2 linked regions of the Sus scrofa genome follow. The protein of the gene in region 1 interacts with the protein of each later gene in a pairwise test. Links are inferred from orthologs where the notes say so. Each region holds a gene or a part of one and is shown in the gene's direction. Other genes may lie near its edges. The genes, in order: ATP6V1D and C1H9orf16.

Region 1 (4,351 bases):
AAGCAGCACCAATTTCTACAAGCATTATTACTATGCATCTTTTTGAGATCTTTTGAGGATCAGTGACTTGTTATTTGGCATCAGATGAACTGAGAACAGACAGTAAAGCTCTACATAATTCCAAACTGCTGAAAGACACAGAGTTACAAGATTTTTTCCCTTGAATAATAACATCAAACGGGAGAAAAACCAAGACTTCTTGCTAAACCTTTCCTCCACGAAACAATGTTTCTTGTTAAATAAAACTTAAAGTAGTCTAAGTTTGGGGGGGTAATAAAATTCCCTTATCTTTATGTTTTTTTAGTTATGCTTAACCGAAAGATCACAGCGTGTAATTCTACAAGTTTACTTTCATCGATGCTGAAACACGGTAAACCGATACTAAGAGTTATATATAAACTCTTCAACAGTATCTTTTAGTTTCAACTGAAGGGGTGACTCAGTCTACAGAAATGCACCGAGCGATAAAGTGATAGGAGCTTCAATTTTTAAATATAAGTTATCAGAGGAACAAATTATTCTTGGATACTTTTAAACCCAACTCTGTCAACATCATGGCCCAAACCACCGGTTCCTTGAAGCGGCCGGTCTGGTTTCCACTGAGAGGTAGTATTTGCTGGGGCGGACGAAAAAGATGGAATTCTCAGGCCCGGAGAGAGCAAAATGCTCAGCGTCGTGGGGCGGGGGTGTCATAGCGTTCTCCCGAGACGGCCCCACCTCAAGGCACCCCTGTTTTATGTATATTGAAGACGCTGTACAATCACTGGGCCCACTTCCCTTCACGAGATTCCTTCGTTCGTACCTTGACACCACCGCTCGGAGAGACCGACACCCGGCCGGTGGCGACCGCAGTCGCGTCCAGGCACTTCCCGCTCAGGGACGGGAAAAGGAGGTGTTAACCCAGGGCCTACCCTCTACCGAACACCCATGCCATTGGACACAACCAAAGTAAATTCTTCGAGAAACTGATCGGGGAGACTAGTCACCTGAGGTATGTATATGGATCCCGCACTGGGGCCCCGCGCCGCGCTCTTCAATCAGAGAGAACTGACTTGATCCACCCGCAGCAGCCGCCGACTCTCTTCAGCGTGCGCTTCTCTCAACCCTACCGCGCATGCGGAACCACCTCGCAGCACGCAAGCGCCGACAGACTACAGACCGCTCTTCATCACCTACCATAGAGTCTAGGTCCTCCGCGAACAAAGAGGTCTGTGGGCCTTAGGAGGACTTGAAAAGTACATTTTCTCGCCATCTTTAGTTTTCGCTAAGTGACTTTCAAGGCGCAGATAAGAAGTAAGACTCGGATTCCTTGTCCCTAAAGAATAAATTCTCTACGATACTGTCAGTCAACCATGAGGTGGCGCTGTGACCAGAGGTGAATGTGGAGGAGGAGAAGGGGTGTACTCTTCTCTCTCGGTCTTTCGTCTCTTGGGTGTAGAGCCTTGCGCAGCCGCCTGGGAGCTGGAGGGGGAGGGGCTCGGCAGCGTACCGGAATCGAGGGGCGGTTCCGGGGTGCGCGCGCCTCAACATCCGGGCATCGCCTTCTTCCTGTCCCGGCCTTCCTGCACTCCTGTGCCAAGAGAAAGCGGAAGTGAAGAAGAGACACTCCGGCTGCCTCTTAGCAACGCGAAGGGCGTCACGTGACACAACCAGCTGACTCCGGTAGAGAAGGACTCTGTGGCTGCAGCACTTGCCTGGCCTGGGACCGGAGCCGCACGGTCGCCGTCAGAATGTCGGGCAAAGACCGAATTGAAATCTTTCCCTCGCGAATGTAAGTAAAAGAATGGAACGAACACACTTACGGGTTCAGGAACACCGGCCCGGAGCCGCTGTCCGTTCACACCCTGGACCAGCAGCGAGGCACCTTGTTTCCTTGGCCGACTCTGAGCTCTCCTCAGACACTTCGTGAGTCCAGGGCGAAGCTCTTTGGCGGGCCCGCACACATTCCTCTGTTTGAACCGGACTGGGCAGAACGAGCCCAGCCGGTGGAACAGGCGCCCGGCCTGCTGGATTTTATGAAGGCTCATTGACTTTACTCATTAATTGAGCTTTTCACCCCACATTCCTTTATTGAGCCGGGCACTATCCTTACGTACCTATGAGTTTTCGTCACTTGTGCCTTAAGAGAGCTAAAGACAGACAAGCCGAGGAGGTTTGCCGATAATGCTTTGAAAAAGGAAGTTTACTACGATGGGAAGCAGGCTTCTAAGCCAAATTGGGGGTTGAATCCAATCACCGTAACGTGGACGTTAGGTTCGATAGTGGATCCCCTTGCTCCTTTTCCCTTGAAATGTTTGTCGCCTGAGGTGGGAAGCTATCCCAGAATTTCTAAGGCACTCCTTTTGCTCTGTCACCATTGCATCTCATTCAGGCCTGTGTTAATATCACCCATCACGTTGTAAAGTGGATATTGTTTTATGTGTATTTACCACTGAACTACAAGCCCTCTCCAGGATGAGATCTCTTTTATTAATCCATAGAAAGTCCATTAAAAAAATGGTGCCTGAATGAACCCATATTTTGGAATTTGGTCAGTCGTGGGCTTCATTGCCTGAATTCTTTGGCTGGAGAAATAGCATAGCACTCTAGGTGTTTGGCCAGTCTGTAAAGAAAATTTTGAAATTTTCTTAAATGTGCCTAAGAACATGTGGAAAGTAATAATTGTTCTTATTTGTCGTCTTCTCCCCTTTCTCCTCCCCTTCTTCTTCTTTTTTTTTTTTTTTTTTTCTTTCTCTAAGGAGCAGAAAGTCAGTTTTGGTTCTGAGAGATGTTTTGACTGTGGTCCTCTCTTTGGGGGACCTTTTGTTTTTCTTCATTCTGAATTTTTTCTCAGAGAATCTGAGGACTCTTAAATAAGAGTTGTTTTTAAACCCTAAACCTAGTTTTCTGTCTCTGCCTGGGTGGCTACAGCTTTTAATAAAATGAAGGGGGTTTTGTTTGGTTTTTACCTTTACCTGACTTTTCAATAGCTGTTTGTCCTAGATGGACGCAATTCAGTTATGGAGAAAGGTAATGCCTGTGAAATAGTTAATGATCAGGACTACCCTGGGGTTACTGAGGATGGCAGAACGCTCAGCAGTTAAGGACTGATTCAGTCCAAACCTCTGCACGGAGAGACCACCAAACTATTGTGGCTTCTAGCAGCCTAAGCTCTGTTCCCAGGATGACTCTGGCTCCCAGTATAATGCCTGCCTGAGAAAACTCATTGCAGCCACAGCCAGGAGAATTTGCTCTTTGTTTTGTCCCACACCTGAGGATATGCCCTTGAGCGCCCTCCCTTAATTACCTGCTAGCAGACACAGTTGGCCTGATCATCACTTCTGTTTGCCTCCACTCTCAGTCATTTTAAAATGCTTAATCACCTGTGCACAAATTGGAATGGAGCTCAGCTCTTTCCCCTCCTGTCAGTGGTTACTGAAAACATGTGTTTTTACCACTTTAATGACTGGCTGTTTTTAATCTTTGATAGTTATCAGAATGTTAACTTTTTTGTTTGTTTTGGAGATTAAGAGGCAAATACACTTCTTTGGGCTTAGACAAGAAAAATAATAAGTTTGTGAAGGTGAAAATTGCTCTTTGAGAGGATTCAGCTTCCCGATTGAGAGGAAGATCAGGTGGAGGAAATAAATGCTTCTCTGTAAATATTTTCCCCAAGGCATATCAGCAAGTATTTTGTCATGTAGTCAGATGTCTTTGATTCAGCTGGAAACAAAGTCATCATCCTAGCTGAAGGTCAAACATTTTTTGTAAAGCCAAGCAGCTCTGGAGCTTGTAACAGAACAGGTTTTTTTAAGAGCTAGGGTAGAAAACACACTAGGAACATCTGTTTGAGACACTTCCACCTTATGGTGTTATCCTTTGAAATGAGGTTGAAATGAGGCTGTTGTCTAGTTAGGCACCAGAGAGAGCAAAACAAGTTTAGAGTGGAAGCAAAAGAGGCATGAAGGTAGTGAAGTCAACAGAGGTCAGTCATATTCAGGTTCTAGTACATACTGGCTATAAGCCCTTGGGCAAGTCACCCTTGAGGCTCAAAAATTAAAATTTGTTTATTTCACAGAGATGCCACTGCTTAGGAGTAAATTTAAATTGGCATGTTAAACTCAGTTTTAATCAACCAATTCACCTTTTTACTATAAACTTACTGCAGTCTGCAGTACTTGGATTTGACTTAAATTTTTTTTTGTCCTGAACTGAAAAATCTTTATTTATCCCTCATAGTGTAAATATTCTTAAGTTTTACTGCAGAAATGTTAATATGTTTGATTATAGGGTGTAACCAGGCCCCTCAGGGTTATTATTATAGAACATAGTAAATGCATTATACTTTTCTAAAATCAAGCAAAGTCAGAAT
Region 2 (4,570 bases), on another chromosome or scaffold:
ACCCAGCTGTCCTCACCAGCCTGGGTCCCCGTGGAAGGAGAGGGCCCAGAGATGCTTCTCATGACACTGCCCACCAGCTGCTCCCTGGGCTGCCCTGCTGATGGAGCCCCACCCTGCCTGCTAAATAAAGATATCCCCCCACCCCCAGCCTGTGCTCCTTGACCCCTGTCCCATCTGGGAGGAGGACAGGCAGAGGGTGGGCTCACATTAGCATCGCTCTTGGACCCCCCTTTGTGGTCTTCAGCAAAGGATAGAGGCCACAGAACCGATAGCCAGCATTTTTTTTTTTTTTTTTTGCTGCACCCACAGCATACGGAATTTCTGGGCCAGGGATCAAGTCTGAGCCGCAGGTCCTGCTTCCCCAGGTACACTCCCAGGACCCTTCTGGAGCCCAAGACTCATCCCTCTCCAGGAATGGCTTGGGTGCTCTCTGCCACCTGCCCCAGCCATGGACACAGCATCTTCTGAGGGGGCTGAGGGCAGGTATCCAGCCCCAAGTGGTAGGGAGTAAGCAGAGGCTTGGCTGGAAGGGGGTACTAGGGGGACAGAGGGAGGAAGGGTACCCACCCCTCAACATCAAGGAGGGTCAGCTGACTTGGGTGGGGGCAGTTCACTGCGATTCTTCCCACTCTGGCTCCGTGGAGGGCGTCGCCTCCACTCAGCCTGGTTAAGGGGAAGGCAGGGCTGCCCTTATGTAAGTCAGTGGTGGCTCTGACCACAGGAGGACTCACTGTGCCTCCGTGTTGCTCAGTTGAAACAATAAGGCAGCTTCTGGGACAGAGAGGATCCCTTCCTGCTGTCATCATCGGGGTCTGGGCCTGACCCCACCTAGAGGCTGGCCTGTTCACAGGAACCGCCAGTGTGAGGCCAGGACCAGGCTGTAGCAGCCATGGGGCCTCCTAGCAGCTTCAGCTACAAGAGCCCCAATAAGTGAGCCCCTCTCCCCAGACGCGGACCGGACTCAGGGGCACCCCTGAACGGGTTCACGGCTCTGAGTCCAGCTCAGGAGCAACGCTTTCTGGCTGGGTGACTTTGGGCAGGCCTCCCCTTCCCAGCTGGTAAAAAGGATAGGGTGTGATGGCAGCTGGGTAGACTTTATCCGGAAGCCTTCCCGGACTGACAGCCACAAGCTGCACTCTCCTGACCATGACTCTCAAGGTGGCTGTGAACGGATACCTTCTCCATACATTAGGGGCCCTGGAAACCACGCATCTCAGATTTTGCCCACGCAGAGGCGCTGGCTAGCTTACCCGCAGGTCCTCAGCTGCAGTATGGGTTGGAGTAGGGGTCCCAGGCTGCCCTGCTCCTCTGTCGGGCTCACGTGCCCTCGCCGAGGGCCAAGCCCGCACCACCTGACATTCTCGGCAGGATGCCCCAGGATGGTCTCTCCCGGCGGCCGGGATGGGGGCGGGCCCGGGGCCTGGGCTGGGGTCGGAGGACGTCTGGCGGAAGTGGGCGGAGCTCGACTGTGAGGCAGGGTGGGGGCGGGGCTCGAGCGTAGGGGCGGAGTCTGGCGGCAGAGCAGGGGCGGAGTTCCGGCGGTGGGGCGGAGAGAGGGCGGAGCTCGGGCCCCGGGGCTCCGGCCTCGGGGGCGGGGCCCCGGCCACCCAAGCGCTTTCCTCCGGCGCGTTCCACCCTTCCGGCTCCGAGTTCCATTCACCGCCTCCACCTTCCGCCTGGTGCCGGCTGTCTGCGCGACCGTCGCCGCTTTCCATCGTCGCGCGGTCCTTGCGGCGCCCGAGCCCGCAATGTCGGGCCCCAACGGGGACCTGGGCATGCCGGTGGAGGCGGGCGCGGAAGGCGAGAATGACGGCTTCGGGGAAGCAGGTGACCCAGAGGGCTGCTGAAGCGACGTTTGCTTTCTCGGGGGTGCCCTCCTGAGAAGGGGAATTGGAGCTTGGGATAGGGGCAGGGAAGGGACTGCAGAGCCTTCCCCATCCCCCCGCCCCAGGGTGGGTCGGGAGCTGCAGGCGCCCCGGGAGAGCACTGCCAGCGGGTCCCTGGAAATCGTAGCAATCGGGAACTTCCGTGGGCAAACCCCGTTTTCCAGACGGGGAAACTGAGGCCGCTTCAGGGTCCCTCGCTCTTTGGGGACTGGGATTTGTTCCAGCCACTTCTTTCAGTCCTTGTGGGGACCGAGGCTCCTGGGGGGGGGCGGGGCCGGGCGTGGACCCTCTGGGTGGGCGTGCCAACTTGCTGAATCAGCATCCCCTGCCCCCTTTGCTGGTGTGGCTTGGAGCCCTGGCGAATGTGACTTGCTTACTAAAGTCGCCTGTTGCCTGCACAGCACTGCGGGGGGTGGGGGTGGGGGTGTGGAGAGAGAACCGTCAGCTCCCTTCTCACCTTCTGGAGCCTCCGTTTCCCCATCTGCAAAATAAGAATGATGGTTAGTGTCTTCTGCATTGAGATGGGCCAGGATTAAATGAGAAAATGAATGGAAAATACTTAGCAGGTTCCAAGCACGCAAGTGTTCTGAAAGTGGTTATTATTCCCTTCAGTGTAATAAAAATTAGTTTATTAATTTAGAGGGCAGGACAGTAAGCATGGGCTAAGTATGGAGTCTGCTTTTGGTTTGTTTTCAGGAACAGCTTTATTGAGTTATAATTCACATCCTATACAATCTAGCCACTTAAATTGTACAATTCGGTGGGTTTTAGGTTATTCAAAGAGCTGTGCACCTATCACCACAATAGCTTTAGAACACGTCCTCTCTCAGGGTCTGTGTTTAATAAAGAGGTAGAGTAAGTGGGGTAAGTGGTAAGCTGCCGGTTTGCCGGGGGCACTGCTGGTGGACAGCCACCAGGCGTGGTTAATCGCACTGGGAGCTGTGGTGGGAGCATCAGGGAGGACCTCCTGGGAGTCACACCGAGTGGAAGTTGGCAGATTCCCTGGACTTAGTGCATGGCAGAGTGGGGGGTGGAGAGGGCGTCCCCATCGGAAGACAAAGGCTTGGGACTTTGAAGCACCCTTGACACTTGACAGACGAAGCTGAGCCCCAGAAGTGGAGACTTCTGCCTCCCCCATCTTCTTCCTCTCTTGGGTTTCCCAACCGGAATGTGAAATACTGAACGAAGCGCTTGCTGTGGCCAGACCCTGGGGTCTTGATATCTGCATGTGAATGCTCACAACAACCCTTGGGAAAATTCTTGTCTCCCCCCCCCTTCTTCAGAAAGGTGCAGTAACTTGCTGGGACAGGCCAGAGCTGGGACTGAGACCCAAGTGTCCCTGCTCCCCAAGCCTGAACTTTGGCTCTGCCAACAACCAGCTGGAAGACCCTGCTTTCTTGGGCCTTGGTCTCCCCACTTGTACCACAAGGGGATCGGACTCTAAGATCCAGCAGAGGCTTTCCAGGACTCTGTCCCCTGTGAGCTGTGCCAACGCTGGGCAGTGGGCGCCCATCCCCCAGAAGGCGGACGCATTTGCACCCTTATCCCAGACACTGTCCTCCAGCCCTGGCCATGTGCAGCCACTGCCAGCCGCTTCCCCTTTGTCCCAAGCTGGCAGCTGAATGTATCTGAGTCACAGGCTGGCTCAGAACTGGGTCCCGCAGTAGGCACAGGCCCAGACCTTGGGTCCTAAGGGACATGGTGTTGCCGAGAGCGGCAGGTCAGGTGTGTCTGTGGAGGAGGGAGGGGTGGTTTCTGGTGGAGACCAGGGAAGGATTCTTGGAAGAGGAGGCATTTGGAAGCTGGTCCTTGAACGGCTCTTGTGGTTGAGGCATTCCAGGTGGCAGGAACAGTTAAGCAAAGGCAGGAAGGCTGGAGAGTCGGACTTCATTCATTCATTCATTCATTCATTCAACAAATGCTTACTGTGTGACATGGAGAGCACGGGGGAAGACAGCAGGGACCACAAGGCCATTCCACCTCTCACAGAGCGCTCGCTATAGTCTATGGGGGAGACAGGTTAGCTCGCCACCAGAGCAGGTGATCCGGAGGTGAGGGCCGAGGAGCTGTCAGTGGGCAAGGGGAACAGGAAGATAGGCCTGATCCAGCCAGGCCTGGGAGGCCTCCCTGTGGACCATCCACGCTGAGGACTTGAAGGATGAGTGGGACTCACCCAGGAGGAGAGGAGGGAAAGAAGACAGAAGGAGGACACAGCACATTCCAGGCAGAGGCCACAGCATGTTCAAGGGGCCTGAGGTGGGCAAAGGCAGGTGTGAGGCAAAGGAAGAAGCAGCATAGGCGGGGCAGGAAAAGAGCGCAGGGCCCTGGAGTCTGCTGGGAGCCCTATCCTCAGGGCAGGGGGGAGCCAGGAAGGGCTGGAGAGTAGGGCCTGCCTAGGGACAGAGGCTTTGATGGCCTGACTCAGAAACAGGGGCTCTGGCCTCTAGGCAGCTGCTGCAGGAAGGGGTGAGGAGACCTGGCACCTGGTAGGACTTCCCAAGCAGGACACTGTCTGGCTGACCTCCCTGTGACAACCCCACCCCCGCCCCCCGCCCCTAGAAAAAACGATGATAGGCTGAAGTATTTTCCAAAGCATTTCCTCTTTTGATATCCACCCATTTTCCAGATGGTGACACCAAGGCTCAGGAACAAACAGGGGCTTGCCCAAAGCCCTTCGAGAGGCA

Evidence for each region.
Region 2: the proteins of ATP6V1D (region 1) and C1H9orf16 interact in binary tests that used the Homo sapiens proteins (3 or more experiments, as listed by UniProt). The two-hybrid records come from large-scale screens. The link is inferred for Sus scrofa from reciprocal best matches to the Homo sapiens genes ATP6V1D and BBLN.

Annotation. Positions count from the first base shown.
Region 1 is NC_010449.5:91,082,074-91,086,424, reverse strand, and holds the start of ATP6V1D (V-type proton ATPase subunit D), read left to right. Parts: upstream 1-1,516; 5' UTR 1,517-1,730; coding exon 1,731-1,771; intron 1,772-4,351. UniProt on the Homo sapiens protein: Subunit of the V1 complex of vacuolar(H+)-ATPase (V-ATPase), a multisubunit enzyme composed of a peripheral complex (V1) that hydrolyzes ATP and a membrane integral complex (V0) that translocates protons.
Region 2 is NC_010443.5:268,614,505-268,619,074, forward strand, and holds the start of C1H9orf16 (UPF0184 protein C9orf16 homolog), read left to right. Parts: upstream 1-1,535; 5' UTR 1,536-1,748; coding exon 1,749-1,827; intron 1,828-4,467; exon of another isoform or gene 4,468-4,570. UniProt on the Homo sapiens protein: Essential for intermediate filament organization in intestinal cells, interacts with intermediate filament and regulates intestinal lumen morphology.